Linked DNA regions of Sus scrofa. The protein of the gene in region 2 interacts with the protein of the main gene of each other region in a pairwise test. Links are inferred from orthologs where the notes say so. Each region holds a gene or a part of one and is shown on either strand. Other genes may lie near its edges.

Region 1 (3,500 bases), on a different chromosome or scaffold from region 2:
TCACGCTTAAGTCAGCAAGAGAAAGTCTCATTTTATGACAATAAATATTAATATGAGAAAAAAAGTCTAGCAAAGTGGTTTATTTACAAGTTACTGCTGGAAAATGTCCTTCAAACAAACAAGTGCAGTGAAAACACCTCAGAGCTAAGTATCAGTTTCTCAGATTCCTCACAGCAGTCTCATCTTCACGGTTTTTATACGTTCATGCTTTCAAAGAGCCGCTACTTCATGATGACAGTAACTCCTCAGTGTTTATTTTTATTCCATGTTTGTGATTTTTTAGGAGGCTACTTTTGGGCTGTGAATTGTTTCACTGTCTTTTCACTCTCTCGTTTTAGTTCTTCAATATGGGCATCCAGGCGCTCGAGAATATGATGAGACCTCAGTTCCTCCTCTTCCAAAAATCTTGTAGCAATTGAACCAAGAGGAGACAGAGGCAAGGGACACTTGAAAAGAAACACATTTTGACATACATAAGTTGAATAGTATACTTCTAAGACATAGTACTCATGATATTTCCTAACTAGCAATATTAAAAGGTGAGTTTTAAAAAATATTTTCCTCTGAAGAGATATTTGTTTTCATCCTAATAATAGTAAAAAAAAAAAAAAAAAAAAAAAAAAAAAAGTTCTGCAAAAGTTAACACACACCCTTTCCTTCCTGACACAAGTTGTATAAATATAAAGTGTCATATAAATATATTACTGGTCTGAAGACTTTCTCAAGTTAGACTTGTACATCTTTCTATACCTCAGAAGAGATATTAATTCCTGTTATTTCAAACTGACTTTTAAAATCTGAATGTTACTTTCATTTTAAAGCACAGAAAATCTATTTATAATAAATTAGATACCAGTTAAAATCAATATTTTCCTTTCCCCAAAATTTCAATCCACAGCCCCCAATTTGCTAAAACCACTGGTTTCAGAATTTAGATTTTAGAAAGGTCACATGTGTCATATTCAGTTGATCCTCATTTGCAGTAGTCATTTTGTATGAAGTCACCTCAAATACTGAATTAATGCACACCGAAACACTGCTCTTATGGGAAATACACACACACGCACACACACACACACACACACGCTCTCACACTTCACACAGATTATAATCCTAACTCCTAAAAACAATTCATCCCGGTAAGAGTCTATTTTCTTTATTTTATAAAAAAGAAAACAAGGTGCAGAGTGTTTAGTGACTTGCCCAGGGCCACCCCACGAAAGATGTCAGAGTTAGGGTTCAAACCCTGTTCAACCCCAGCATCCAACTTCTTGCACTCTGCTGTGCTGCGCCCCCCACCCCAGCATCTCCATCCCCTGGGCATCTCAGTACAAGAGCTGAAACAAAAGGGCATGGCCTTGACTGACTTCAGCTGGAAACAAGCAAGTCTGATGACTCAAATTTGTGCAGCTCTGCACATGTTTATGAAAGACTGTGGAAGTGCTTATGAGTATGGCTTAGGAATTACAAATGGTTTAGCAAGTAGGGGCAAATTTATAAATACAGAATCCATGACTCTTGAGGAGTCAGGTAATATCCATAATCAAATACATTGATATTTCTGAGGTAAAATGCTAAGTGGGATAAACACTGGCTATACATATTACCTATTCAGTTTAGGCCAGGTCAGGTTTTAGTGCCAAATAAGTTTTGCTGACAAACTTAAGAAGATAGTTAGTTGTCAGGACTTTTTTTGGATTTTAGAACTATATACAAGTGAAGCGGGGATTTATTTTGACAGCTAAAAAAAAACCTTCCCATGGATTTGTTGGCACATTTAAAAGTCAAAAACATAGAACTTTCACAGGGACAGGACCATGGGAGGGTGATGGGAATGAATGGCCAGAGGCGAAGGTTCCAGCACAGAAGGAAAGGGAGATGGTGGCGTGGAGTCCTCGCAGCAGCTGCAAGAAAAGGGGACAGCCTGGGTCAAAGGGCTGCCTCTGCCCACAGGGCCACCACTGTGTGGCACCCCGTCCATGTTCCAGATACGTCAGATCTGAGTCCTTCCTCCACCTCCACCCACCCCTTTCCATTTGTTCCCTTCTCCCTCCCCCACTGTCTATGCCTCAGGGCTATCTCAGCAGGCAGAGGTATTCCTTGAACCATCATTACAACACAAAATTGATCCTCTCTGAAAAAGACAGGAAGGGAATTTCCAATTCGGGCTAATAAGAAATGAATACCTAACACTTATATTTCCTAAGATGCATAGGAAATCATAGCTGACTATGTCTTCCACAAGCAAAACATTAAGACAAAAATATATGAGAATAACAAAGGTAGTGAAGATAGAAAACCAGCAGCAAGGGGGAAAAACAAAACGAAACAAAACAAAATCTCTGCTTTAAAATAAAAAAATGAAACCAAGTAAACTAATTAAACTAGTAAGATTAAAAAGTTTCCATACCGAAGATATAAAGTCTTCTTGGTCATTTATACTCTCAGAGATAGTGTCAGAAAAATTGGTTTCATTTGTATCTAGCACTGAAGGCAGAGAGTGAGTTTTGGAGAGAAAGTTAGACGGCAGAGACATGGTGGAGCAGCAAGGGCTGATCTGACTTCTCGCGGGGCTGAGGCCCCTGGACAGGGGCTCTATGCTATCCGATGCTTGTCCTCTTGGAGAGTGAAGACCTGCCTTGTAGTGCTCAGTCTGCATCCCATCCTGCCTGTGCTGGCCATGGGCTGGCCTGAACAGCAGATTAGAAAACAAAACAGATAAACATCGTAGCAACTTTCCTCTCATTTAAAACAGACTTGTGGGAAGTTCGCAAAAAATACAGGGCCAAGGAGTTCCCTGGCAGTGTAGTGGGTTATGGATCTGGCGTTGTCACTGCTATTGCTGGGGTCGCTGCTGTGGTGCATGTTTGACATCTGGCCCGGAAAAAAAAAAACAAACAAGACCAGACTGCAGAGAAGGCTATAATTTATAAAATGAGCAGTTCCTCAGGCTAGGTGTTCTATCTATCACTCGGGCCTCAAATATCCAAGCCCCACGCCCCCACACACTTACAATACAGCAAGGATGACAAACAGTGTGGTTGGTGCTGGGACAGAGGGAAGCACTGTGCACACAGAGGCACCTATCCTCATTTGGGGGGCAGAGGTGGGAGTGGAGGTGAGGGTTTCAGTAAAGACTCTTGGTAGGAAACTATGGAAGCCACACAGTAAGAGCTGAAGCCAGGTGGTATTTCATTGAATGCTGTTTTCTTAGGTAACAGTCTATCATTAGTTGACCAAAAATACAAAAGAAGCTGTTTATAAAAAGTCAACTTCTACTTCTTATAGGACTAGTGGGGTTGGAGAGGTGGGAGGGGCATGAAAAGGCTCGGGGGAAAGGCTGCTGTTTATACCTACATCCAGAGAGTCTAAAACCGAGGCTTGAATGAAAGTGCTATGTAACTCCCTGCATTTTTTTACCTAATAGTAGCTTTACTTGTGCACAATGTACTTCAGAATTAAGTAGAGAGTCTTGTGATGAAGATTTAATTTCCATAAAT
Region 2 (3,500 bases):
CTCTATTTCTTTGTTCAGCCTGTACTAATTGTGCCTCCAACTCTGCTTCTAATTCTCTGCTTCCTTCCTGGAATTCGACTAGCTCATCCCGAGCTTCCTGGAAGCTAATCAGAAACAAAGTGGGAAAGATCACTTATAGAAGGAATCATAAGAATCCTTGGGGAGTTCCCGTTGTGGCATGGCAGAAACGAATCTGACTAGTATCCATGAGGATGCGGGTTAGACCCCTGGCCTCACTCAGTGTGTCAGGCATCTGGCGCTGCCGTGAGCTGTGGTATAGGTTGCAGACACAGCTTGGATGCCTAGCCTGGAAACTTCTATATGCCGAGGGTGCAGCCCTAAAATGCAAAAAAAAGAATCATCTTAAAGAAGATGACTATGCATCAATTTAATAATTTTTGCCTGAACACGGTGTTACCATAAAATATGTTAAATAATAAAGACAATCTACTTTGCATCTCTTACTCTACATTCAGAGTTCAGTGAAAGTAAGTTATAAGCCTCAGGGTTCCCTCTGTGGAGCTGGTGGTTAAGAATCCAACCACAGCGGCTCAGGTCACTGCAGAGATAGGGGTTCACTCCCCAGCCCAGCACAGTGGGTTGAAGGTTCCCGACATCGCCACGGCTACAGCTCAGATTCAGTCCTTGCCTGGGAACTTCCATATGCCAAGGGTGCAGCCATAAAAATGTTTAAAAAGTAAAAGTCTCAAAAGGATTCGCATTTTATACACTCACCCCACCCTTCTTATTTAACGTATTACTATCCACAGATTAATATTTAGACATGCATTTTCATATAATTGGTTTCCTCTGTAATTCTATTCTTTAATTGTACGCATTTAAAAAATGTTATTCCAGGAGTTCCCGTCGTGGCGCAGTGGTTAACGAATCCGACTAGGAACCATGAGGTTGCGGGTTCGGTCCCTGCCCTTGCTCAGTGGGTTAACAATCCAGCGTTGCCGTGAGCTGTGGTGTAGGTTGCAGACGCGGCTCGGATCCCGCGTTGCTGTGGCTCTGGCGTAGGCCGGTGGCTACAGCTCCGATTAGACCCCTAGCCTGGGAACCTCCATATGCCTCGGAAGCGGCCCAAAGAAATAGCAAAAAGACAAAATAAATAAATATCCTGTGAACAGTAAAAGCGGCCCAAAGAAATAGCAAAAAAAAAAAAAAATGTTATTCTGGAGTTCCCATCGTGGCGCAGTGGTTAACGAATCCGACTAGGAACCATGAGGTTTCGGGTTCGGTCCCTGTCCTTGCTCAGTGGGTTAATGATCCGGCGGTGCTCTGAGCTGTGGTGTAGGTTGCAGATGCGGCTCAGATCCTGCATTGCTGTGGCTCTGGCGTAGGCCGGCGGCTACAGCTCTGATTAGACCCCTAGCCTGGGAACCTCCATATGCCGCGGAAGCGGCCCAAAGAAATAGCAAAAAGACAAAAAAAAAAAAAAAAAAAAAAAATGTTATTCTGGAGTTCCCGTCGTGGCTCAGTGGAAACGAATCTGACTAGGAGCCATGAGGTTGCAGGTTCAATCCCTCACCTCGATCAGTGGGTTAAAGATCCGGCACTGCTGTGAGCTGTGGTGAAGGTCGCAGACGCGGCTCAGATGTGGGATTGGCCGGCAGCAACGGCTACCATGAGACCCCTAGCCTGGGAACCTCCATATGCCTCAGATGCGGCCCTCAAAAGACATAAAATAAAAAATAAATAAATACATAAAAACGTTACTCTGAGAAGGGTTCCATAGGCTTCCTCAGCCTATTTAAGCAACTACAGCACAAGAGAAAGACTAACAACTCCTGCCATAGATTCACACCTTCCACACCCAATGGCAGACAGAGTAACTGGCTTCCACAGTGACCATGAAACTGCAGTAAAATGTTTACTGAGTCTTAGTAAACTGTCAACCAAGGCAGGAAAATGTATATATATATACGCACATATAAATGTGTGTACATATATATGTTTTAGAAAGATTACATTTTTAAAAGAAATTTAAGTTTCGGTGCTTTTAAAAAAAAAAAAAAAAGGTTATCTAAAAGGTTTCCCAGGCGTGGCTCAGTGGTAACAAACCCAACTAGTATCCATGAGGATGGGAGTCTGATCCCTGGCCTCTTTCAGTGAGTTAGGTATCTGGTGTTGCCACGAGCTGTGGTGTAGGTAGCAGACACAGCTCAGATCCTGAGTTGCTGAGCTGTGTCGTAGGCCTATAGCTACAGCTCCAATTGAATCCCTAGCCTAGGAACTTCCCATATGCCAAGGGTGAGGCCCTAAAATGCAGGGGGGGAAAAAAAAAGTTTCCCAGCTAACTGAAATAACTGAGATGTTTTAAAATGCTCCACATACCCCGAAGCTCTTGTCCCTCCCTCCAAGCTTTTCGCTGGCTCCAGACACTGCTAACACTGCGCTATGGAGGCCTAGACGGTCTCCACAAAAGACCAAAACGATGAGGCAGCATCAGTGCACACCGAGCAGACCAAAGATGGCCAAGCGTAGTACTAAGCATAAAAGAAGGTTAACTGCCAGAAGAAATCACAAATGACTGGCACTGTCCCTACCAGTAGGAACAAATGCTTCCTCACTAGTTTAATAATCCAAATAATGCAAGGATTTACAGCATTTTTTATTACTTAAATACAATGTTATGACTATTTCTAGAAATTCAATCCTAAATCTGCAATTCTATTTCTAATCCAAAATTTAGCTCTGTTTAAAAAAAAAAAAAGGACAAGCCAGAGACGACGTACTCAAGCCCTCGCCTGTGCCGAGGACGCTCCTCAACATTACCTTTGTTTATACTTCAAGGAAAGTTCCTTCCAATAAGCAGTTTCCTCCTTTAAACTTGAAAAATCTGGTATATCCTCACCATCCATGATCAAGAAAGCCTGTGAAATAGCAAAGACAAAAAAATTAACAGAGAACACAGGAATCTTAGTAAAAGAATAAAATCTGGGACAACACAAAATCTGCAGCATTTCGGAGGGAGTCAAACATAAAAGATTCTAAGAATGGTTAACTCTCTATTACAACAAACTCAGACACACAAATCACTTCACTATCCCACTCTCAGGGACCACAGCACCGCAGACGGGGTCAGGAGAGGAGATGAAAAAAGAAAAGAGTCACTGAAGCCACATGAAGCACCTGTGGTCACAGCACTAGGTTCTGGGGAGCTGGCCCCATACAGTCATCCTGCACCGGGCTCTAGCGGTTGGCTTACGGCCACTGATCTGAGAACCAGGTGACAGAAACACGTTTATTATCACAGTTGCCGTTACCGCATGCCCTTCTCTGGGGTACAATCGGTTCCAAACACCTGCTTGAAACATTTTATGCCTGGTGACCTTACTAGATCAGGCACCACATTCCCAATAATTTGCTATCATTACATTTCTAAAAATTTCTTGTTAATTATCTTTTAGGTCCCAAGCTGTCTCCATAAATGCACCAGTCCTCCAACTTCAATGTTCTTTCATCTCGGTTCTCCTCCCAAGGCGTTCACAGAG
Region 3 (3,500 bases), on a different chromosome or scaffold from region 2:
GTTTCCCTGTCTATCTTCCTAGCCCTGTGGTGGCTTGAATGAAAATAACTTTACAACTGCAGTAGCTATGAAATTCAGCAATCTTTAGGATGTGGGATAGGAGGTAAACTGGGTTTAGAACTCTCCAAAAGTACTGAACTGATACTATGTGACCTAAATGACACCTCCCTAGAAAAAGGCCATTCTCAGCAGTTGTTTTATTTGACCTGATTCAGAGTTCCCTCAGTCGGAACTGTCTTATCTCTAGTACATTTATTAAAAAAAAAAAATTAAAAAATTAAAAAAATTCAGTGGCAATTGTTTAAAATCTCAGCTGACTGAGATATCAATACCAGTGGGGCAAGCAAGAAGATCACCAAGAAACAGAAGAGGCAAAATTGAGGAATGAGATGTTGAAGAAAGGCTTTGAAAAGCATTAACATACTCCTGGGCATAGAGAAGGCCATGTACATGTACAGGGCTGTGTGCATGCCAAGGAAATACCTGAGAAGGTCTTAATCTCTCACCTTTGGCTGACCTTGAGACTCTGAGCAAGCAGGAAATGAAGGCCAAGGCAGTGCTGCAAACTGCTTATCAGGTTGTTGAAGGCATCCCTGGACACACACATAGAGCCCCTTTGGCAAAAGCTGGGAAATTTACTGGTTCAGAGCATTGAAGGAAATCATTTTCTAATCATCAGCTCAACAAACTCCAAAATATGATAAACTAAATGAGTAACAAACATCATAGTTAAACTGTTGAAAGCTAAAGAAAACATAAAGAACCCTGAACACAGCAAGAAAAAAGTGATTTATCATGTAGAAGTATGATTAACAGCTAATTTTTCATTAGAAAGCTTAGGGGTAAAAAAATGTTTAAAAGAAAGCCCAAAAGACTGTTAACCAAAAATTCTATATCCAGCAAAACTATCCTTTAATGTTAAAGAGTAACTAAATCCCAGATAAACACAAACCAAGATAATTTGTTGTCATCAGACCTTGGTTACAAGGTATACTGACTTTGGAGACTTCACCATTGTTTTCTTTTCTTTTTTTGGGGGGGGAGGGGGGTAGGCGTACTCACGGCATATGCAAGTTCCCAGCCTAGGGATCAAATCAGAGCTATGGTCACTGGCTTACGCCACAGGCACTGCAATGCCAGATCCAAGCTGCATCTGCGACCTACACCACAGCTCATGGCAATGCTGAATCATTAACCCACTGAGTGAGGCCAGGGATCAAACCTGCATCCTCATGGATACTAGTCAGTTTCATTTCCACTGAGCCACAATGTTAATTCCTGAAGTTGAAAACTTCAATAATGTCTTCTCATTAATGGACAGAGCAACTAGAAAGAATATCAGGAAGGAAATAGAACACTTGAACAACACTACAAACTAACAAAACCTAACCGCTATCTGTAGAACATCTAAGAGATTAAATTAGTAATCAAAAAACTTGCCACAAAGAAAAACCTAGGCCCAAATAACTTCAATGGTGAATTCTACAAAACATTCAATGAAGACTTAACAAGAACCTTCACAAATTCTTCCAAAAACAGAAATGAGAGAAACACTTCCCAATTCAATCTATGTGATAATATAAAAACCACAGACATCTCAAGAAAACTACTGACCAATATTTATTATGACTATATACAGAAAAATCCTCAACAAAACACCAGCAAATTGAATTGAGTAACATATAACACCATGACCAAGTGGGATTTATTTGAGAAATGCAAGGTTGGTTCCACATCTGACAATCAGTCAATGTCATGTACCACATTAAGAGAATGAAAAGATAGGAGTTCCCATTGTGGCTCATCAGAAACAAATCCAACTAGTATCCATGAAGGTGAGGGCTCAATCCCTGGCCTCACTCAGTGGGTTAAGGATACCGCCCTGCTGTGAGCTGTGGTACAGGTCACAGATGTGGCTCAGAACTGACGTTACTGTGGGGTAGGCCAGCAGCTGCAGCTCTGATTCAACCTATAGCTTGGGAACTTCCACATGCTGTACATGTGGCCCTAAAACACATAAGGAAGGAAGGAAAGGAGGAAGGAGGGAGGGAGGGAGGAAGGAAGAAGGAAGGAAGGAAAATGATTATCTGAACAGACATAGCAATAGCATTTGACAAAATCTAATACTTATTTCATGATTTTAAAAAAACACACTCAATTAAATATGAAAAGGAGGGAACTTCCTCAACCTGATAAAGATATCTATGAAAATCCACAGCTAATATCATACTTAACAGTGAAACACTGAATGTTGTTCCTACTTTTGGAAACAAGACAGAAATGTCTGCTCTCATCCCTGCTATTCAACATTGTACTGGAGATTCTAGCCATAGCAATTATGCAGGAAAAAAAGAAAAGTATCCAGATTGGAAAGAAAAAAGTAAAACTATCTCTACTCTCAGATGACATATCTTACATACTAGGGAACTAGGAAGGCAGAAGGTTAAATGCATCATGTGCATGAACACTGGAGGCTACACTCAGGGTTGTAACAAAGCCTATAATGAAGAGGGAAAGGGAGCCAAGGGTAAGATTTTTGAGATAGGGACAGGGACCATTAAGGAAGAGCTGGTACAGCCAAATGCCCTAAGTGTCAAAGGAAAGAGGCTTAAGAATATTTCATTTAGAAGTGACGAAGAAAAGTGAAGAAAAAGACTTCACCTCTAAACAGTAAAGCACTGGAGTCACTGGAAAATAAGAATCTTTTATGTAAGAATGCTACTGAAGAATTAGTACATTTAGGAAAAAGTTACAAGCAGGAGAATGTAGGTGAAGAGATCCAGGATGTGGGTTTGTTAAGACGTGAGAAAATCTGACATGGCTTAGTGGAAAAGGGAAGGTCTGGGGAGAAAAGAGTGAAAGCTTGGATCAGGTGAAAAGAAAAAGCACTACTGACAAAAATATAGATAAAGTAGATCAGTGTTTCTGAACCACCAGTCCTCTGAGTTGTAGATAAGACATAATCTTATAATAAAGATGAGAATTGAAGGACAGAAGGAAAGGGAACTAGCAACACTCAAGAAGTCATAGAAAGAGATAAGGAACTTTTATACATATATATTAAAAGGCCCTGGGGTTAGTATATCCAAATCTTTTAAAAATTAAGGAACTGAAAGAAAATAATTGTTGTATGGTTTGCTGGAGTAAGGCTATCTTGGATGAGGTTCCTCTCTCTACCACCCATCCCCATAATGGGCTCTGAGAAATCTAGCAAGTCCCAATCCTGCACAGCCACCCAAGAGCCTGAGGGGATTAATAAACTGGTTAACCTATAATTAGTCATAACAAACCATTGCGTGTCAGTCCACTTGCTGGGGAGTTCTATGCTAAATCAGTCAGATTAGCAACCCCCAAGAATGTTGTACATTTCTCTCTTCACAATGAAAATAACAAGTGTGGAAGATCAACAAATCACTAGTCCCTCAAAATACACTGTGTAGAAGGAATCTGTGGTCATTTGTTTTGGGAAATGGCAAGTATTTTATCTTCTGCCAATTTTT
Region 4 (3,500 bases), on a different chromosome or scaffold from region 2:
GTATGTGTAATATATACGATATAACTTAGCAAGTAAATGACAGAGTGTATATACATATAAATTATATGTGTAATTTATTATTATTCTTTCTCATCCTAATTACAAAATAGAGTTGGCCATACCTAAGGCATTTTAAAAAATAAATTTTCCAGGTGAGCAAATAAGCTAAAAGAAGCTATAACTCATGTATTTTGGTAAAATTTAAAAACTGATTAAAACAAAGGACAATAGAGAAACAAAGTATAATGTTCAATAATTATAAACAGTAGCAAGAGCCAGTGAAGTCTACGAGCCAGGCAATGTTCTTTACATCTTTGACGTCGTTCAACTCTCAAAACAACACTGTTATATAGGTACATGATTATTCCCACTCTACACCTGGAAAACTAAAGCACACTGACTTTAAGAAACTTGCCCAAGAGCACAGTGTTAACAACAGGTAAAAACAGGATTCCAGTTCGAGCAGTAAAACTTGCAGCATTTGTTCTATTAAGCCAATACATCACACTCTCTCACCGTATTACACAAAACGTGTATCAATGTTTCAATGCTACTCTTAATGAAGTGTGATTCTACATCTATCCACCTATCTGCTTTTTCATTCATCCATCCGTCTACTGATCTTTCTTTAAAAGACAAGAAGAGAATACTTACTGTCACTAGGGGTGCCCTGTTCTAGTAAAAACTGTTGTCCTTCACTCCACTGCCTCTCCAGAAGCTGCTCTATGCTGGCTGCTACTGGAGGCAGGTTTTCCAAACCGCTGTTGCCCGGTTGATCATAGCGGATCTGTAAGCTGCTTACCGGGGATCTGTTGGAAACATTAATCCTCAGGTTAAACAGAAGGAAGACCCTTTAAAGGAGGTGCATTCACATTTCTCATCTTATACTGACCCTTCACCTGTACAAGTTTTCTAGCACCTGGCTGCCTATGCTAGAACAATAAAACCATAACCAACCCTAAAATTTAGTAATTACCATCCTTTTTCCTCAAATGGTAAAAATCAAGGGATTTATTTTATTTATTTATTTACTTATTGTCTTTTTAGGGCCACACCCAAGGCATATGGAGGTTCCCAAGCTAGGGGTCGAACTAGAGCTGTCACTGCTGGCCTACGCCACAGCCACAGCCACAGCCACACCAGATCAGAGCAGCTTCTGCAACCTACACCACAGCTCACAGCAACGCTGGATCCTTAACCCACTGAGCGGGGCCAGGGATCAAACCTGCGTCCTCATGGATACTAGTCAGATTCGTTTCTGCTGAGCCACGACGGGAACTCCTCAAGGGAATCCTGGCCATACTCAATAATTAAAAATGACTAGAAAATATAAACACATCACCAATAATCTGAAATGGGCTGTAAAGTAACTTGCTTCGGCTTTATAAGACAAAAGGGAGAAAGACAAAATTAGAAAGATTTACACTGCATAATTATAATTATGTAGAGAGTATTTTAACTTACAACCACAAAATATCTAATATCAGTACAAGGAATATTTAACAATTTTGAAGGAATCTTTTGTTATAAAATAAAAAATATTTATTTTCAAGTATTTTCAGTAGTAGGGAACATCATCAAGACAAAGCAATTTTTATTTGAGCCCTTTACACAAATTTTTTCTAAAATGTCTTAGATTGGTACTTGAAATAACAACTCTTTCAAAACAAAAACTGCTTACATTAAGATGAACACTGTATTTTCTCTCATCCACTCTTTGTTATAAATTAGTAAATGTGGCAATTTTTGGTCTCCAGCCTCCGCACTAACCTAATACATTCGTAAAGGGCTTCAGAGTTTCCAAAGTGTTTCCACATAATTATCTCCTATGATCTTTACCACAAGCCTAGTGAGAAGTCAAAACCTGCCTTGCTGGCTCCATTTCTATCTGAGGAAACGAGATGGGGCATTAATGACTTGTCCAAAGACATGAGGCTGCTAAGTGACAGAGCTGGGTGAGCACTCTGCCATGGCCCTAACACACTTCTCCGCAAAAATCTCTTTAAATAAGTTAAACAAATGAGGCTTTTTATTCCATATGTAAACATCGTGTGCTACATATAGTGTATGTGCTGCATCCTTTTCCAAAGAGTACATTATTGTCAGGATAATTTAGGCCATTACAGTTCAGGCTGATTTTTAAAGAGAAATATAAAGACGGAAATATGTGCTAAAAATAGGTCAGTGCCATTTAGTGTGTTAAATCCCATTCAGCTAATGAAACACAAAGAACTATATACATAATACAAAATAGCACTAAGGAACCTTGAGTAATTTCTGGGTAGCTTGTATGATATTAAGGGGAACACAGAGCTGCTTTCTCCACTAAACATGAGCCAAAAAACCCATAAACTTTCTTCTTTCAAAAAAACAATACAACAGCACAGAGGTAACAGAGCACAAATTACATATTGGTCAGATGGTGTTATCTTTGCGTACTTCGTATTCCTAGTTTTAAAAGAAGAATATTTAATTTTCTGTAGGTTTAAATTAGGAAAAATAATAATAGTATTATTTTTCATTCACCTAGGAACGGTACAGGAAAGTCACTACTGACACACCACTAGCAAATAGCAAAATTAAAGGTTACTGGACAAATTGCTCTAATGTTAAAGACATTCTCGCAGTTCCTGTCGTGGTGCAGTGGTTAACGAATCCAACTAGGAACCATGAGGTTGCAGGTTCGGTCCCTGGCCTTGCTCAGTGGGTTAAGGATCCGGCGTTGCCGTGAGCTGTGGTATAGGTTGCAGACGCAGCTCGATCCTGCGTTGCTGCGGCTCTGGCATAGGCCAGGGGCTACAGCTCCAATTCGACCGCTAGCCTGGGAACCTCCATATGCCGCGGGAGCAGCCCAAAGAAATAGCAAAAAGACAAAAAAAAAAAAAAAAAAGACATTCCCAAAGGTACCAGCAACAGAGCAACACTGATATTCATGGCAGTCACCACATAAAATTTTTAATTTTTAATATAATTTTTAAATTCCCAAAGTTGAAAACAGATTCTTTTTTGTTGTTGTTGTCTTTTTACCTTTTCTAGGGCCACTTCCCACGGCATATGGAGGTTCCCAGGCTAGGGGTCGAAGTGGAGCTGTAGCTGCCGGCCTATGCCAGAGCCACAGCAACGTGGGATTCGAGCTGTGTCTGCAACCTACACCGTAGCTCACAGCAATGCTGGATCCTTAACCCACTGAGCAAGGCCAGGGATTGAACCTGCAACTTTATGGTTCCTAGTTGGATTCGTTAATAACCACTGCGCCACGACGGGAACTCCAAAAACAGATTCTTGAATGGGCTTCATTCTCTTTCTGCTCCATTCTCACCCAATCTAATACCATGCTTGAGGCAGTTTACAAAATTAGAAGACAGAAAATAAACTAAAAAAAGGTATAGAAGTTGAGAGTGAAATAAGATTAATAAAAAGATAGGAGTTCCTGTCTTGGTACAGCAGAAACAAATCTGACTAGGAACCATGAGGTTGTGAGTTCGATTCCTGGCTTCGCT
Region 5 (3,960 bases), on a different chromosome or scaffold from region 2:
ATTCCCTGTAAGGCCTTATACCTGTGTAGTAAGCGTGTGTGTAAAGATAGAAGGGTATGTCACAGGAAAACGGGGAATGGGGGAGTTGTGTTCCCCAGCCACGTCGAACTTGAATAAATGGGGTTCCGTAAATACCGAGTGATTTGAAGGAAAGTGGACATACAACCCGAAGCAATCAAAGGGAAGGCTATCTTACTTAATACTGGGGATAGATGTTTTTCTTTCTGCCTCTCAGGTCCAAAGCGGGGAAGAAGGACCAGTGGCTTAGGTTGTAAACCTTAAGGTTAAGGACTCTTTCTGTTGAGCATAGCTCTCAGCAGTCAACTAAATGTGAAACGTTTAAATAGCAAGGTAAGTATACCTTATGGAAGATAAGACTGAAAGAGCTCCACCAGCAGGACCCCTACACAGAGCCTACCATAAAGAGGGCTTAATCAACTCTAGAAGGACTGTTAAAGTATCACCTACTGAAAGTGTGCTCTTTCCCAGCACCTCTTATTGGAGTTTCTCTATGTGGGTGTGATCCTAAGAGAGGAGTGGGTGAGAAAGAGAGTGTGCTGGGTACAATTTGTGTATATGCAAGAGAATACCGAAACTCTCAATGAGGAATAACATATGTTTCTAGGAGTGCATCTGTGCAAAAAAGACACGGTCCCCGAAATTGTGCTAAGGGGGATAAAAACCCTATTTTAAAAAGTTTTTATTTTACACATGTCATCTTTTTGTCATATTTCCTCCTACTGTCTTGTCCGCCTGATCAAACAGCCCTTTCCCACCTCAGGTCCATGAAACATTTCGAACAGTCTGACAGCCTGACAAACCAGACAGACTACTCACTCGGGGATCCCAGAGGCAAACCTCGGCCCGAGAGCAGAAGTGACTCCAGGGCGCACCTGCCTGGAGGTCGTCCTTCGTCCATCCAGCGGAAATTACAAGGATTCGTAGGGCAGGGCCGAGGCCCGGCAAGGCATTGAGAGCCAGTAGTAGCAGGCCGGACCCGCAGGATCCAAGGTGACCTGGAGAGTGTGCACGACCAGGGGCGGACTGAGCCCTCTCCCGCTTCCCTGCGGTGAGTTCATCTCGCCAGGTGTCGGCGCGCGCGGCCGGCCTGCCCCCCACTCCCCAGCCGAGTGCGCCTGCCCGGTTGGAGCCGCGCCCAGTTCCCGGGTGAAGGCCGGGCGCCTGGCGCCCCAGGCCGCGCTCCCGGGAGCTCTGGCCTCTCACCGGCGGGGAGGCGGGGCCGGAGGAGGGGCTGGGACGGTGGGGTTGGGCCGGCGGGATTGGGCCGGCGGGGCGGGGTTCGCGCCCAGTGCCCGGGACTCCGCAGCAGCTTCCCCTGCAGGTCTCCAGCAGGCGAGCGGCTCGGTCGCCCTCTCCAGCCCCATGGCAGCCCCTGGCTCCCCGGCTGAGTGCGGCTACATCCGGACGGTCCTGGGCCAGCAGATCCTGGGGCAGCTGGACAGCTCCAGCCTGGCCCTGCCCTCTGAGGCCAAGCTGAAGCTGGCAGGAAGCAGCGGTCGCAGCGGCCAGGCGGTCAAGAGCCTCCGGATCCAGGAGCAGGTGCAGCAGACCCTGGCCCGGAAGGGCCGCAATTTCGTGGGCAACGGTGAGTAAAGCCCTGCCGCCTTCTGCATCGCTCTCACCGTGCCTTTTACCCATTCCCTACTCCTTCCTCACCCTCAGTGCCCAGTTGCTTGGACTCCCTTCTTACTGAAGGTGCGAGACCTGGTGTTCTGCCCACCTGTTGCTCGCCAGCCCATTGTACGACCTGTCGCGCCTTCAGACTCAGACCAGCTTACTTGGGGAAAGCATTCTTCTTTTTTAAAAATAACCTCTTACTCACCCTTGTCATCTATGTCTATTAAATGCATATGTATGTATGGAAAGAATTCAGTCCAAGATTTTCACCCCTCCCTTAACCTGCTTCCCTAAGCCCTCCACCCCCACCCCGGGGACTTCATCTGTAGGCTCTGAGAGTCTGTAAACACTTTGAAATTCTGTGCAGAAATGTGGTATGTTCATTTTTCTGGAAGAAAGTGCCTCTAGCTTTTATTTAAAATTTTAAAGGATCTATGACCCCCATAAATATTTTTTAAAAAGAAAACCTGAAAGTACTGGTTTTCTGCAAGCTGTATATTGGGATTGTGGTGCCTCGCCCAGGTACCTGGGGGCACTCCACCCAGTGTACGGAGCGAGTGGTTGATCTAGGAAATGAAAAGATTGGGTAGGAGGCTTTGGGCTGGGGAACAATCACACCACCCCGCGGATGAGGAGGAGGAGAAGAAAGGGGACTTTGGCCCCGCCAGCAGCAGCCCCTCCCGCCTCGCTGCGCCCTACCAACGCACTTGTAAGCACAGCGCTGGTATCTCCAAAAAAATTAAGCTTGGAGGTGAACGAGTTTGAAAAAATAGTAGTCCTTATATTAGGTGTTTATTTTTTCATTTTAAAAGTATTATAAGTTTATTGTGGAAAAGAGAAGGGGAAAGAAATTGAACAATTAAATTGGGTTTTTTGTTATTTCCTGCAGTGTTGAACTGTTTCTCTGGGAAGTTAACCTGGGCAATGGTAAATGTAGAGCCTATAAGGAAAAAGAAAAATGCTTGCAGACCAGATCAGAGAGTTAAAACAGCCGACCTTGGGAGGCTCTATTGTTTTCCCTTTGTGTAAAAGAATCAGGCAATCAAGACTTAATTACTTAAAGGGTAAAGAGAAGATATTTAATGGTTATAGTTGATGTACTTGTGTGCTTTCTATGTGCCAGGAATTGGACTGTATGATTTGCATTCATTGTGTTATTTACGTTTCTAGGGGAAAAAAAAAAAAAAAAAAAAAAAAGCTTGTGAGGTAGTCCTTTAATCCCCATCTCACAGATGAGGAAACTAAACAGTTAAGTGACACTCAAGTTCCCACAGATTTTAAGTAGCAACTGATAGTATTTATTTATTTATTTATTTTTTGTCTTTTGTCTTTTTTGTTGTTGTTGTTGTTATTGTTGCTATTTCTTGGGCCGCTCCCAGGGCATATGGAGGTTCCCAGGCTAGGGGTTGAATCGGAGCTGTAGCCACCGGCCTACGCCAGAGCCACAGCAACGCGGGATCCGAGCCACGTCTGCAACCTACACCACAGCTCACGGCAACGCCGGATCCTTAACCCACTGAGCAAGGGCAGGGACCGAACCCGAAACCTCATGGTTCCTAGTCGGATTCGTTAACCACTGCGCCACGCCGGGAACTCCAGCAACTGATAGTATTTAAACTCCCAAGCCTGATTTTGTAGCAACTGGTAGTATTTAAAATCCCAAGCCTGATTTTTTTTTTTTTTTTTTAATATGAGGGCCGCACCCTTGTTATATGGAAGTTCCTAGGCTAGGGGTAGAATCGAAGCTGCGCCTGCTGCCTATGCCAACAGCCACAAGCACACCAGATCCGAGCCACATCTGTGACCTACACCGAACCTTGCAGCAATTCCAGATCCTTTCCTATCACTGAGCCACAACGGGAATTCTGCAAGCCTGAATTTTTATTTATTTACTTACTTACTTACTTACTTTTGTCTTTTTCTAGAGCCAGCTCCCGCGCCATATGGAGGTTCCCAGGCTAGGGATCCAACCGGAGCTATAGCCGCCGGCCTACGCCAGAGCCACAGCAACCCGCGGGATCCGAGCCGCGTCTGCAACCTACACCACAGCTCCCGGCAGCGCCGGATCCTTAACCCACTGAGCAAGGCCAGGGATCGAACCTGCAACCTCATGGTTCCTAGTCAGATTCCTTAACCACTGCACCAGGATGGGAACTCCAAGCCTGAATTTTTAAACCACTCATCAGTTATATTGTTAAGCTTTTTGGTAATTAATATGAAATGGGATTTTTATTAGATCTTAAGCCCCTTATAGCCCCTTCCTATTTTCCTTTAAATAAAATTGAGATAGTTCTGAGAGATTGGTAAGGTCTCAATGACACA
Region 6 (4,277 bases), on a different chromosome or scaffold from region 2:
TGCCACTAACCAGCTGGGTCGGCTTTGGCCTAATTTAACCTCCTTGCACCAGGTCCCCAGGTGTAGAAGAGGGTCACTCATAAGACTGTTGTTAAGTTTTAAGTGATTTAATGTGTGTAAATAGCCTGGGCCGCTAAATAGAAGCTGTTGTGACTAAAATAATTATTAGTGTGTTTTTTCCTTGTCCAATAAATCACATCCAACCCAGCATACTATAATTCGAATGTGTAAAAAGAGCGCATCAGAAATGTACTGGATTAAAAAGAGAGATGTAGGGGAAGTGGGCGACACTCATAGAAGCGTCCTAGAGATTTTGCGGGCGTCGGGTGAAAAAGATGCCCAAGACAAGATCAGGGAGTTGGTTCAGGTAACTATGGGAACTATGGGAATCAAGGGAAGCGATGCTGCTTAACCGTAATAACTATTTAGCCTTCCCTCAAAGATCACAGCAACATCCAGCTTCTTCCTCTGCACTCTGGCTTGGGCCGAACCAAGCCGTTAGGAAATGCACCTGGTCAGCTCCCGTCCACGAGACCCTGGTATTAAGGGGTTAGGGCAAAGGTTCGGAGCAACTCACCCCGGAGACTCCGTTGATACTGCCCCAGAATCTCCTCCAGGGTAGAGTTCTCCGAAGATTTCGCCATGCACACACTCGGAGCTCAGAGACGGGAGTTGCGTGGGGTAGTGTCCAGGGTTCTCCTCTCCGAGAATAAGAGGCCCCAGCGCCCCACAGGCGCCCACCCGCTTCCTGCCGCGGCTGTCAACCCGGAGCGCGGAATCCCAGACGCAGCCAGCCGGGCCTCTTCCCACCCACGGGCCCTTGTGGTGGACCTCGGAAATTGTAGTCCTCGTGTTCCGGGATTACTGTCTCAAGTTCCCAGGCGCCCTCCCAAACAAACTACAATTCCCAGAGGGCAACGCGCTCCAAGCTCACGCTTCAGCAGTTTGGCTGCCAGATCTGGTCGCCAAGAGACCGTTTGGAGGCTCCGCCCATTTCTGTAGCGCTGCCTGTCTTGGTCCTGCCTCCATCCCATCGTGTGTTTGGACCATCTGACAGAAAGCACTCACTGAACGCCTTGATTCTTTTAAGTTCGCTAGAATGCAGTTGACCCTTGAGGCGTCTCAAGAACGCAAATAAATTCTACACTCTTCAGCCACAACTTTTGCCAACACCGCCAAATAAATTCTCAGGAAAAAGAAGCTCTGAATCTCCCAAACAGCCTAAATTGTGAAAGCGGCTGACGCTACAAATTTTAGCACACCCAGCTGGCCACCCGACCTCAGTTTGGAGGAGTTGACGCACTGCCCGCTGGGAAATGTAGTCCTTACGGGTTGCGGTCCCAGCTAAAGCCCAGTCCTCCTCATTGTTGAAGCAGGTCTTTGGTGTACGCCTGCGCAGTCGGCAGCTGGCGAGGCCTGTGGGTGAGACCCCCCACACAACCCCTTTTCATTGTCTGTGCTTGGCGCCTGCGCAGTAGAAGTTCGCCGGGACTGGGCCGGAGCAGGGGTAGGGCCGGGCTCTTCGCCCTCTCCCCTGGCGCCTGCGCACTGGGCGGCCGCTCCTTGCCGTTACCGCTATGTGCGGAGCGTGTGTGGAATAACGTTATTGCCCAGCGGCGCGGAGGGGCCAGGAGCTCGATCGCGGCGGCGGCGGCGACGACGAAGACGACGACGACGGGGTGGGGGAGGAAGCTGGCGAGAGACTCACGGGACGCGGCGCGCCCCGCCCCCCGGTCCGGTGCCTCTCAGCAGTGAGGGGTAAGTGATGCACTCTGATGCCGTCGCCGCCGTCTTCCCACATCCTGCTCCTCCGGTTTGCAGCCGGGGCTCGGGCGCGGCCCGCGGCGGGCGGGGTGCGGGCTGGGCGGCGAGGGGCGCTTCCCGTAGGCTCCGCGCGCTGCCCCCGCCCCGGACCCGGGACCCGGCGGGGCCGCCCCTCCCCTCCCCCCCCGCGTCCCCCAGTCCTGCGGCCCGGCTTCCCCGCTTGTGTCCACGTATTGAGTCGTCTGGGCTCTCCCGGCTTTGTGCAGCCGCTCCGCCCAAGCAGTGTGCAGGGGTGCGGGCGGAGCAGTGGAGGGAATGGCTGCGCTGCCGCTGGTGAAGGGATATTTCCCGGTCCGAGCAGCTCGGTGTCGATCCTTATTGTGTGGTTGTTTTGGGGGTGTGGGGTGATTTGGGGGGTCCGGCGAGGAGCCTTTTGGACGCGGTGGGAGGGCGTAGAAGACGTGGTGTCACGCACCCCGCCAGGCGACTGCACCCGCGCAGGCTGTAGCTTGGTAGTAAACCGGGGGAGGAGAAAGTGGCTTCCTGTCGACTTCATTGTCCTGAGATTCAAATGTGGTCTTTGGTATGTGTCCCTTCATTTTATGCAAGGGAAGGAAAAATTAGCAGCTGCCTAACACAGGGCGGGAAGATGTGGGATTTGTATCCCGAGTCATAGAATCTTTGTTTTTTAGTGTGTAGCAGAGTTTTTATTTATTTGGAGAATGTAAAGCTTCTGGAAGACAAGGACAGTGCCTGTCCAAGCCTTGCCAAGGTGATCAATATAAAATTACTAGATGACGATGAAGAATGGACTAGGAAGGGCCTTGACGACGAAGCTGTTGTGTAGCAGGAAAATGAACCGGCGGAATTGTTTTTTTATTGGGTGGGTAACGCATTCGTGTTCCTAAGGGAGGAGGTTAGGAAACATCTTTCCGTTTTGTTTTTTAAGCATGCAAAACAAAAAATAGGCCTGGTACATTTCTTTTTCTGACTTTTTGAACTGATATTTTTATTCTCTTAATGAAAATTCACCCACTTGGGAGAAATGTGGTAAAGTAGGTGATACACTTGATTGAAAACGCATCTCTTAAAATGATTTGATTATTAAGCTTACAATGCATACAACCATTTGCTGGGGTTAAAACAAACAGAAGAGAGATTGAAGGAGAATGGGGAGGAGCAGGTGGAGGACTGATTTGAGAGGAGACAGTTATATTATAAATACAGTATCCAGGTCTGCACTGATATAACCCTGGCTGGGTAGGCTGCAACGGTTTAGGAATTCAGTTCTGGAACTATTACATTGCAAGTTACAAACCATTTTGTATTTTTCTGCCATTATTTTTTAAAAAGTAAAACCAGTGCTGCTTTTACTTTTTCTTAACTTTGTAGATCTTGTAGAATTTTGGTGTTTTAAAGCTGAAGAGTCTAAAAGCACTTAACAGAGACAAGAGGAAGACGTAAAACTTGGAAAGTGAACTGACTTGTGTGTCCAGCCAAAATACTCATGAAAGCCAGAGTCAAATAAAACCAACGTCTCTGCAATGTGAGCTCCCAGCTGTCTCCCCTAGTCCCCCAGCTTTTAGGGAAAGCTTCTCTACAGACTCTTTGAGTTGTCTGTGACAGTCAGGTTCATTGACAGCTCCGTTGTAGCAGTCTAGTCTTTTTCTTTTGAAGTAAAGATAATAATACTAATGATGTAGAACTATAGTTTTATGTATTAACTTAAGGATATAGAAAAAGATACCCTAAGTGGGCTTTTCTTAAAAACAAAAGCTGTTGGAATTTTCCCCCTACTTCTTATTAGTAACCGTATTTTAGTACTGTTGTCTTATATTGTATTTTATAGTATGATCAACTATATATAAACTCTTAAAAATCAAATTGCCACATAACAAGAACCTATGAGGTTTGTTTTTCTTCAGTTAATGAATTTTATTATTTTCAGCTTAATTTACTTTTTAAGGAGAACACTCAAGTTGAACTTTTAATTAAATGTATGCTTTTTTGTTGAAATTGAGTTTGCCATAAATTGCTTATTTGTTGTCTTATACTTTTTAATCCTTTAATTCTACATTGCACTTTAATAGACTTTTTAAAAAAATTAGTATATCATGGACTTCTCTTATGGCCCAGTGGGTTAAGGATCTGGCCTTGTCACTGCTATGGTTCAGGTTCTCTCCTGAGGTGAAATTTTGATCCCTGGCCTGGGATCTTCCATGTGCTGCGAGTGAGCCAAAGCAAAACAAAAGAATTAGTATATCGCTTACATTTCAACTTACTTAAAAAGTAATCTGTAATTAAATTCACCATGTGGAATTATATTAAACTTGAAATTTGTCTTACTGTTAAATTTCATGATGTTCTAAAATGACTTTGTATGGAAATAAATAACCATCTGCATATTTTCCAATTTAGTGTTAGAAGTGAAATTTATATTGTAAAATTATCATACATTATGCCTGTTAATGTAAATATCAAAACACTTTTAAAAAACTCTGTGCTTAAGTGAT
Region 7 (4,252 bases), on a different chromosome or scaffold from region 2:
TTTTTTTTTAAATCACCTCCCTGTTAGGGGCCAAGTCTGCCTTCCTCAGCCGAGGTGCAGATTGTCCTTGGAAGCCAGCACCCACTTGGATTATACCTGCAGGAGACTGCTGCCAATGAAAGTGAAACAAAAGCAAGCAAACAAAAAACAGTAACCAGAAGTCCCCAGGGAACCAGGCTCGATGTAGAGGCCCCACTTGCTGCCCCTCAACAGGGCCTTACCCTATTTAGCCCAAATCTCATCCCCTCTCCTGTCTCTGTGCCATTCTCTCTCTTGCCTTCTCCCCCTCCTCTCTCTCCCCTCCCTTCTGCAAATGTGTTGATTCTCCTAGAACCCTTGGTAGCTTGGCTGAGTTGGGGCTGGACCTGGCTGAGCTGGATTCTGAGCCCAGGAAACCCTGACGCCTGCCTCCACTGATCCCTGGGGTCAGACCAGAGACTGATGAGGGAAGAAGGACTCTCCCTTCCAGCTGCCGCTTCTCTTTGTGCCCCACTCGGGGAACCCACTTCCTGGGTAGGTCAGAGAAGGGTGTCTCAGCTTCACCAACCAGCAGGCATTTGCCGGCTCTGGCCCCTTGGGTTTATTTATGGGTCAAACAGACTCAACAGGTAGCAGCCCGTGTGCCCTTTCTGCCCGCCCAGGGGTGAGGCAGTCTCGCACGCTGACGGGGGTCGTATGCAGTCAGGCCCCGTCCGCTCTCCAGCACCTGACTCTCCAGGCTTAGAGGGCCACCCTCTGCTCTCGGCGGGGCTGTGACATGGACAGTGCCTGGTCCACCGCTGGTGCCCCTGCCCTTTCTTTAGGCTTTCTCCTCACTCCTGCACTTACACCTGCTCACTTCCCACCTGCTACTTTCATCATTTAAACACTTAGGAAAGGATGGGAGAGGCTCATTCAGATTAAATCAGGAATGACTGCACAAGCAGGTACACTCCATGTCTCGGCTGCTCTGCTGTAGATGTGGGAAGCGGGGAACCCCGACCCTGGATTCAGACTCTGGGGACTCCTGTCCTGGCTCTGTCAGCGGCTACCCACATGCTTTTGAACCAGCTATTACACGTCTCTGCATCTCTGTTTCCTCACTTGTAAAGTGGCAGCCTAACTCACAAGGTTCTGAGGATTAAAGAAAAATACACATCAAGCCTCTGGGCCGTAGCATGTAATAAACATTAGCTTTTTATAATAGTATGGTTTTTACTATCCCAGTGCTACCGATCTTGGATATTGAGGACTCAGTGCTATAAGACAAGGGTCCGAAGCAAACCAGCACTCTAGGACCAAGAATGCCTCATCCTCCAGCCCCCCGACCACTCTCTCTTTGAAGGAGTCCTGCTGACCGCGTGGAGGGGATGCTGGCCCCGGGGCTGAAATCATATTTACTGCTGCTCTGTTCCTCTGACTTCTGGGTGCGGGCTGCAGGGAGAAAGGCCCCTCTGGTCTGGGCTCACCTGCCAGCAACATTAGGCCCAGCAGAAAGGAAAGGAGAGGGGGGTGAAGGACGGGTGTCCAGGCTGCCTGCATCCCACCTTTAAGATGTGGGGTGCTGGGTCGCCTCCCTGTTTGGTTCCAGGCCACCCTCAGGCTCTGTAGAGGAGGCAGGCCTCTTGATTGTGAAGAATCCTTCAACCTCCCACTGTGAAGAGGGGAGGGCTGTGTGGAGAGCAAAGTGTGCCGGCCGTGCCTACACTGATTCGCTGGAACACATGGCTGCCCTGCCCTGCTTCCCGGGCACAGACATTGGCACTTGTTGCCCAGGCTGGGAGTTGCAGTAGAAAAGGCTCTTTCAAGAAGGGAGCCTTTCCAGACCCCCAGGCCCTCACAGCAGGTGGGATTTGGCATGGCACAGCTAAGTGGGATCATACTCAGCTTTCCTGATTTGCTTAAACACAAGATGCCACGTGGGTCGGCTGACTGACCGAGATGGGCTGTAGGAAAAAAGGAACTGGCCCCTGTGGGGTTCAAAAAAGGTCATTGGGCCACTGCCCAGGCAGCTCTTGCGGCATGGCAGGGCCCAGTTGCAGCCCTGGGACGACGTGGTACTGGCTGGGGGATGGGGCATGGGGGCTGTCCTCACTGCCAGGGGATCAGGACACTGTCCTCGCCTGACAGTTCTCTGTCGCTGCCTTTCCAGGTCTCTGCTTCTACTTCCTGGCTGTGTGTGTGATGCATGGCCTCCTGCATGAATGAATGGACTAGCCTGCCTAGTCCAGAGCTCTCGGTGTGAGCTGGGAGAGGAGGGCTGGCGCCCAGCGGCTGCAAAGGCAGCTTCGTGCTGTTGGGTCCCTGCTGTGAAGGGAGCTGTAAAATGTCTGCCCCGTCACTGGGGAGCCTGAACCCCAGGTCACTGCCTCACCGCCAGTGTAATCCGATGGATGGAGCAGAGAGCCCCGGACACTGTGCCCCTGGAGACCAACACAGGGCACTTTCCAGGTTACTCAGCCCCACACTCCTAACCTACACCGTCCACTCCAGGGCCTCTCCTTACAGCCCGGGGAGGCTGGCAGCCAGAGCCTCTTCTGCCCCACCCAGCGTCGGGGGCCCCCAGCCTGGACGCAAATGCCTCCTCCTTGTCCGTTACCTCGGGTCCCCGGCTGCAGCGCCAGCAGCTCAGGAAAGCATCCCGGCTACGGGCAGACCTCGGCTCTGGCCTCGGGTGGGGTGATCTCAGTCCGTGGCTCTGGGCCCCTCAGCATTTCCCTTCGAGGTTCTCTCGCCTTTTACGCAGCTGCCTTGCTGAAACAGGAAGCAGCCACAGCCACGGCACTTGCTCACCCCAGTTCCTCTCCTGCTCGCTGGCGCGATCTGAGGGGCCCCTGACCCCTTGAGGCTCACAGGCCCGAGCTCGGGACTCCTCCCACCCCCGGGCACCACCGCCACCCTCTCCCTTGCTACTCGATCGGTCTGCGCTCTTGGACAATTTCGAGTCAAAATCCTTTCCAGGATGACACCAGGATGGGTCACTGGTCAGACTCAAACCTTGTAGTCTCTGTGTGGGGAAGAAAAATGCCTTTTGACCCAGAAGAGGTGTCCCCTGTGTAGGTTTTCAGGTGTATCAGCTCGTTCTCTGGGGAGGATTTGCTCTTTCCTTTAGCTCCCTCTTTGCAGTCCTGCTGTAGTGAAGGGTCTTTGCTCTTCTAAAGTCTGGTGTCTTCCAGACTTCTGACGTGAGACCAGCTCCGAATTCGCTCCTTTCTCAGGGAGTGGGCCGGGAGTCGGCCGAGGGGACAGGTGGGGGCTGGGGGGCAAAGGGAGCAACAGTGGGCAGAAGCTGAAAAAAGTATTTCATTGAACTAGGAAATCTGGGGGAAAACGGAAAGGAATTTGTTTGTGCCTTAAAAGGAAACTTACACATATTATAGGCAGGAAATCCCCAAGAAGTTCAGGATCCCGTGGTGGCCAGGAGCCGGACGAGGACAAGCTGGCCGAGCCCCTGTGTGGCCTTGTGCAATCCACCGCGTCTGAATGGCCCCTCGGTGTCTGAGTGGGTGACTGACACGGTTCCCATGAAGCCCCAGACGTCCCATGTGAGGCACGTGGTGAGCCTTTGAAATAACTGCTGTAACAACGACGCGCGTGTGGGGAGCGCGGCGCAGCCTTGGCCGTTGCCCGCACCGCCTCCATTCTCTGGGGGGACAAAGAACAAGGAGGAGGCAGGCAAAGGGCCGGGGCCGGACCCTCCGACGACATTCTCTCAGGATGAGGGACCGGAGCGCAAGGGCCTGGGCCTGGAGCTCGACACTCGGAGATGAGAATGAGCGGAGGACAGAGGGGTCGGGGCGCCCACGATGGCAGGATAAGAGTCCGTTATAGGCGCAGAAGTGTGAGAGGGCTCTGGGGGTTCAGGACCCTAGAGCCTAAGAGAGGACAGACGATTGTAATAGGAGTTCCCGGGGACCAGGGTTATTTGGGCTCCATTAAAAATCAGAAATGTGTACAGAGAATGAAATCCCTTCTAGAGCTGTGCAGTCTTCTTTTTTTTTTTTTTTTTTTTGGCTGCAGTTTCCAGCAGCTTATTGTGGGATCTCAGTTCCCAGGCTAGGGATTGGATGCAAGCCATAGTGGTAAAAGTGCCAAATCCTAACCACTGGACCACCAGGGAACTCCCCAGGGCTATGCATTCACTGGGCTACCACATCTACTTTAACTGGGGTTTGGAAAGGTGAGCTCAAGGTGACGCAAGTTTGCTTGACATCAGAGCTTGAGCTCTTAGCACTATGTCCTGAGGAAAATACAGTTAATAAGGTTGGCATAC

The links.
Region 1: the proteins of NDEL1 (region 2) and CEP63 interact in a two-hybrid assay, tested with the Homo sapiens proteins (2 studies listed by BioGRID and IntAct). The link is inferred for Sus scrofa from reciprocal best matches to the Homo sapiens genes NDEL1 and CEP63.
Region 3: the proteins of NDEL1 (region 2) and CCSER2 interact in binary tests that used the Homo sapiens proteins (3 or more experiments, as listed by UniProt). The link is inferred for Sus scrofa from reciprocal best matches to the Homo sapiens genes NDEL1 and CCSER2.
Region 4: the proteins of NDEL1 (region 2) and MLLT10 interact in a two-hybrid assay, tested with the Homo sapiens proteins (2 studies listed by BioGRID and IntAct). The link is inferred for Sus scrofa from reciprocal best matches to the Homo sapiens genes NDEL1 and MLLT10.
Region 5: the proteins of NDEL1 (region 2) and PKP2 interact in binary tests that used the Homo sapiens proteins (3 or more experiments, as listed by UniProt). The link is inferred for Sus scrofa from reciprocal best matches to the Homo sapiens genes NDEL1 and PKP2.
Region 6: the proteins of NDEL1 (region 2) and CEP170 interact in a two-hybrid assay, tested with the Homo sapiens proteins (2 studies listed by BioGRID and IntAct). The link is inferred for Sus scrofa from reciprocal best matches to the Homo sapiens genes NDEL1 and CEP170.
Region 7: the proteins of NDEL1 (region 2) and TRAF3IP3 interact in binary tests that used the Homo sapiens proteins (3 or more experiments, as listed by UniProt). The two-hybrid records come from large-scale screens. The link is inferred for Sus scrofa from reciprocal best matches to the Homo sapiens genes NDEL1 and TRAF3IP3.

The regions. Positions count from the first base shown.
Region 1 is NC_010455.5:75,703,541-75,707,040, reverse strand, and holds part of CEP63 (centrosomal protein of 63 kDa), read right to left. Parts: intron 2,691-3,500; coding exon 2,411-2,690; intron 447-2,410; coding exon 288-446; 3' UTR 1-287. UniProt on the Homo sapiens protein: Required for normal spindle assembly.
Region 2 is NC_010454.4:53,611,804-53,615,303, reverse strand, and holds part of NDEL1 (nuclear distribution protein nudE-like 1), read right to left. Parts: intron 2,880-3,500; 5' UTR 2,868-2,879; coding exon 2,782-2,867; intron 105-2,781; coding exon 1-104. UniProt on the Homo sapiens protein: Required for organization of the cellular microtubule array and microtubule anchoring at the centrosome. May regulate microtubule organization at least in part by targeting the microtubule severing protein KATNA1 to the centrosome.
Region 3 is NC_010456.5:85,613,630-85,617,129, reverse strand, and holds part of CCSER2 (serine-rich coiled-coil domain-containing protein 2), read right to left. Parts: intron 639-3,500; coding exon 507-638; intron 1-506. UniProt on the Homo sapiens protein: Microtubule-binding protein which might play a role in microtubule bundling.
Region 4 is NC_010452.4:53,084,850-53,088,349, forward strand, and holds part of MLLT10 (protein AF-10), read right to left. Parts: intron 810-3,500; coding exon 655-809; intron 1-654. UniProt on the Homo sapiens protein: Probably involved in transcriptional regulation. In vitro or as fusion protein with KMT2A/MLL1 has transactivation activity. Binds to cruciform DNA.
Region 5 is NC_010447.5:41,423,527-41,427,486, forward strand, and holds the start of PKP2 (plakophilin-2), read left to right. Parts: upstream 1-1,160; 5' UTR 1,161-1,383; coding exon 1,384-1,606; intron 1,607-3,960. UniProt on the Homo sapiens protein: A component of desmosome cell-cell junctions which are required for positive regulation of cellular adhesion.
Region 6 is NC_010452.4:16,188,348-16,192,624, reverse strand, and holds the start of CEP170 (centrosomal protein of 170 kDa), read left to right. Parts: upstream 1-1,477; 5' UTR 1,478-1,758; intron 1,759-4,277. Other genes in the region: SDCCAG8 (serologically defined colon cancer antigen 8), read right to left, coding at 578-644.
Region 7 is NC_010451.4:133,211,409-133,215,660, forward strand, and holds the start of TRAF3IP3 (TRAF3-interacting JNK-activating modulator), read right to left. Parts: upstream 2,801-4,252; 5' UTR 2,579-2,800; intron 1-2,578. UniProt on the Homo sapiens protein: Adapter protein that plays essential roles in both innate and adaptive immunity. Plays a crucial role in the regulation of thymocyte development.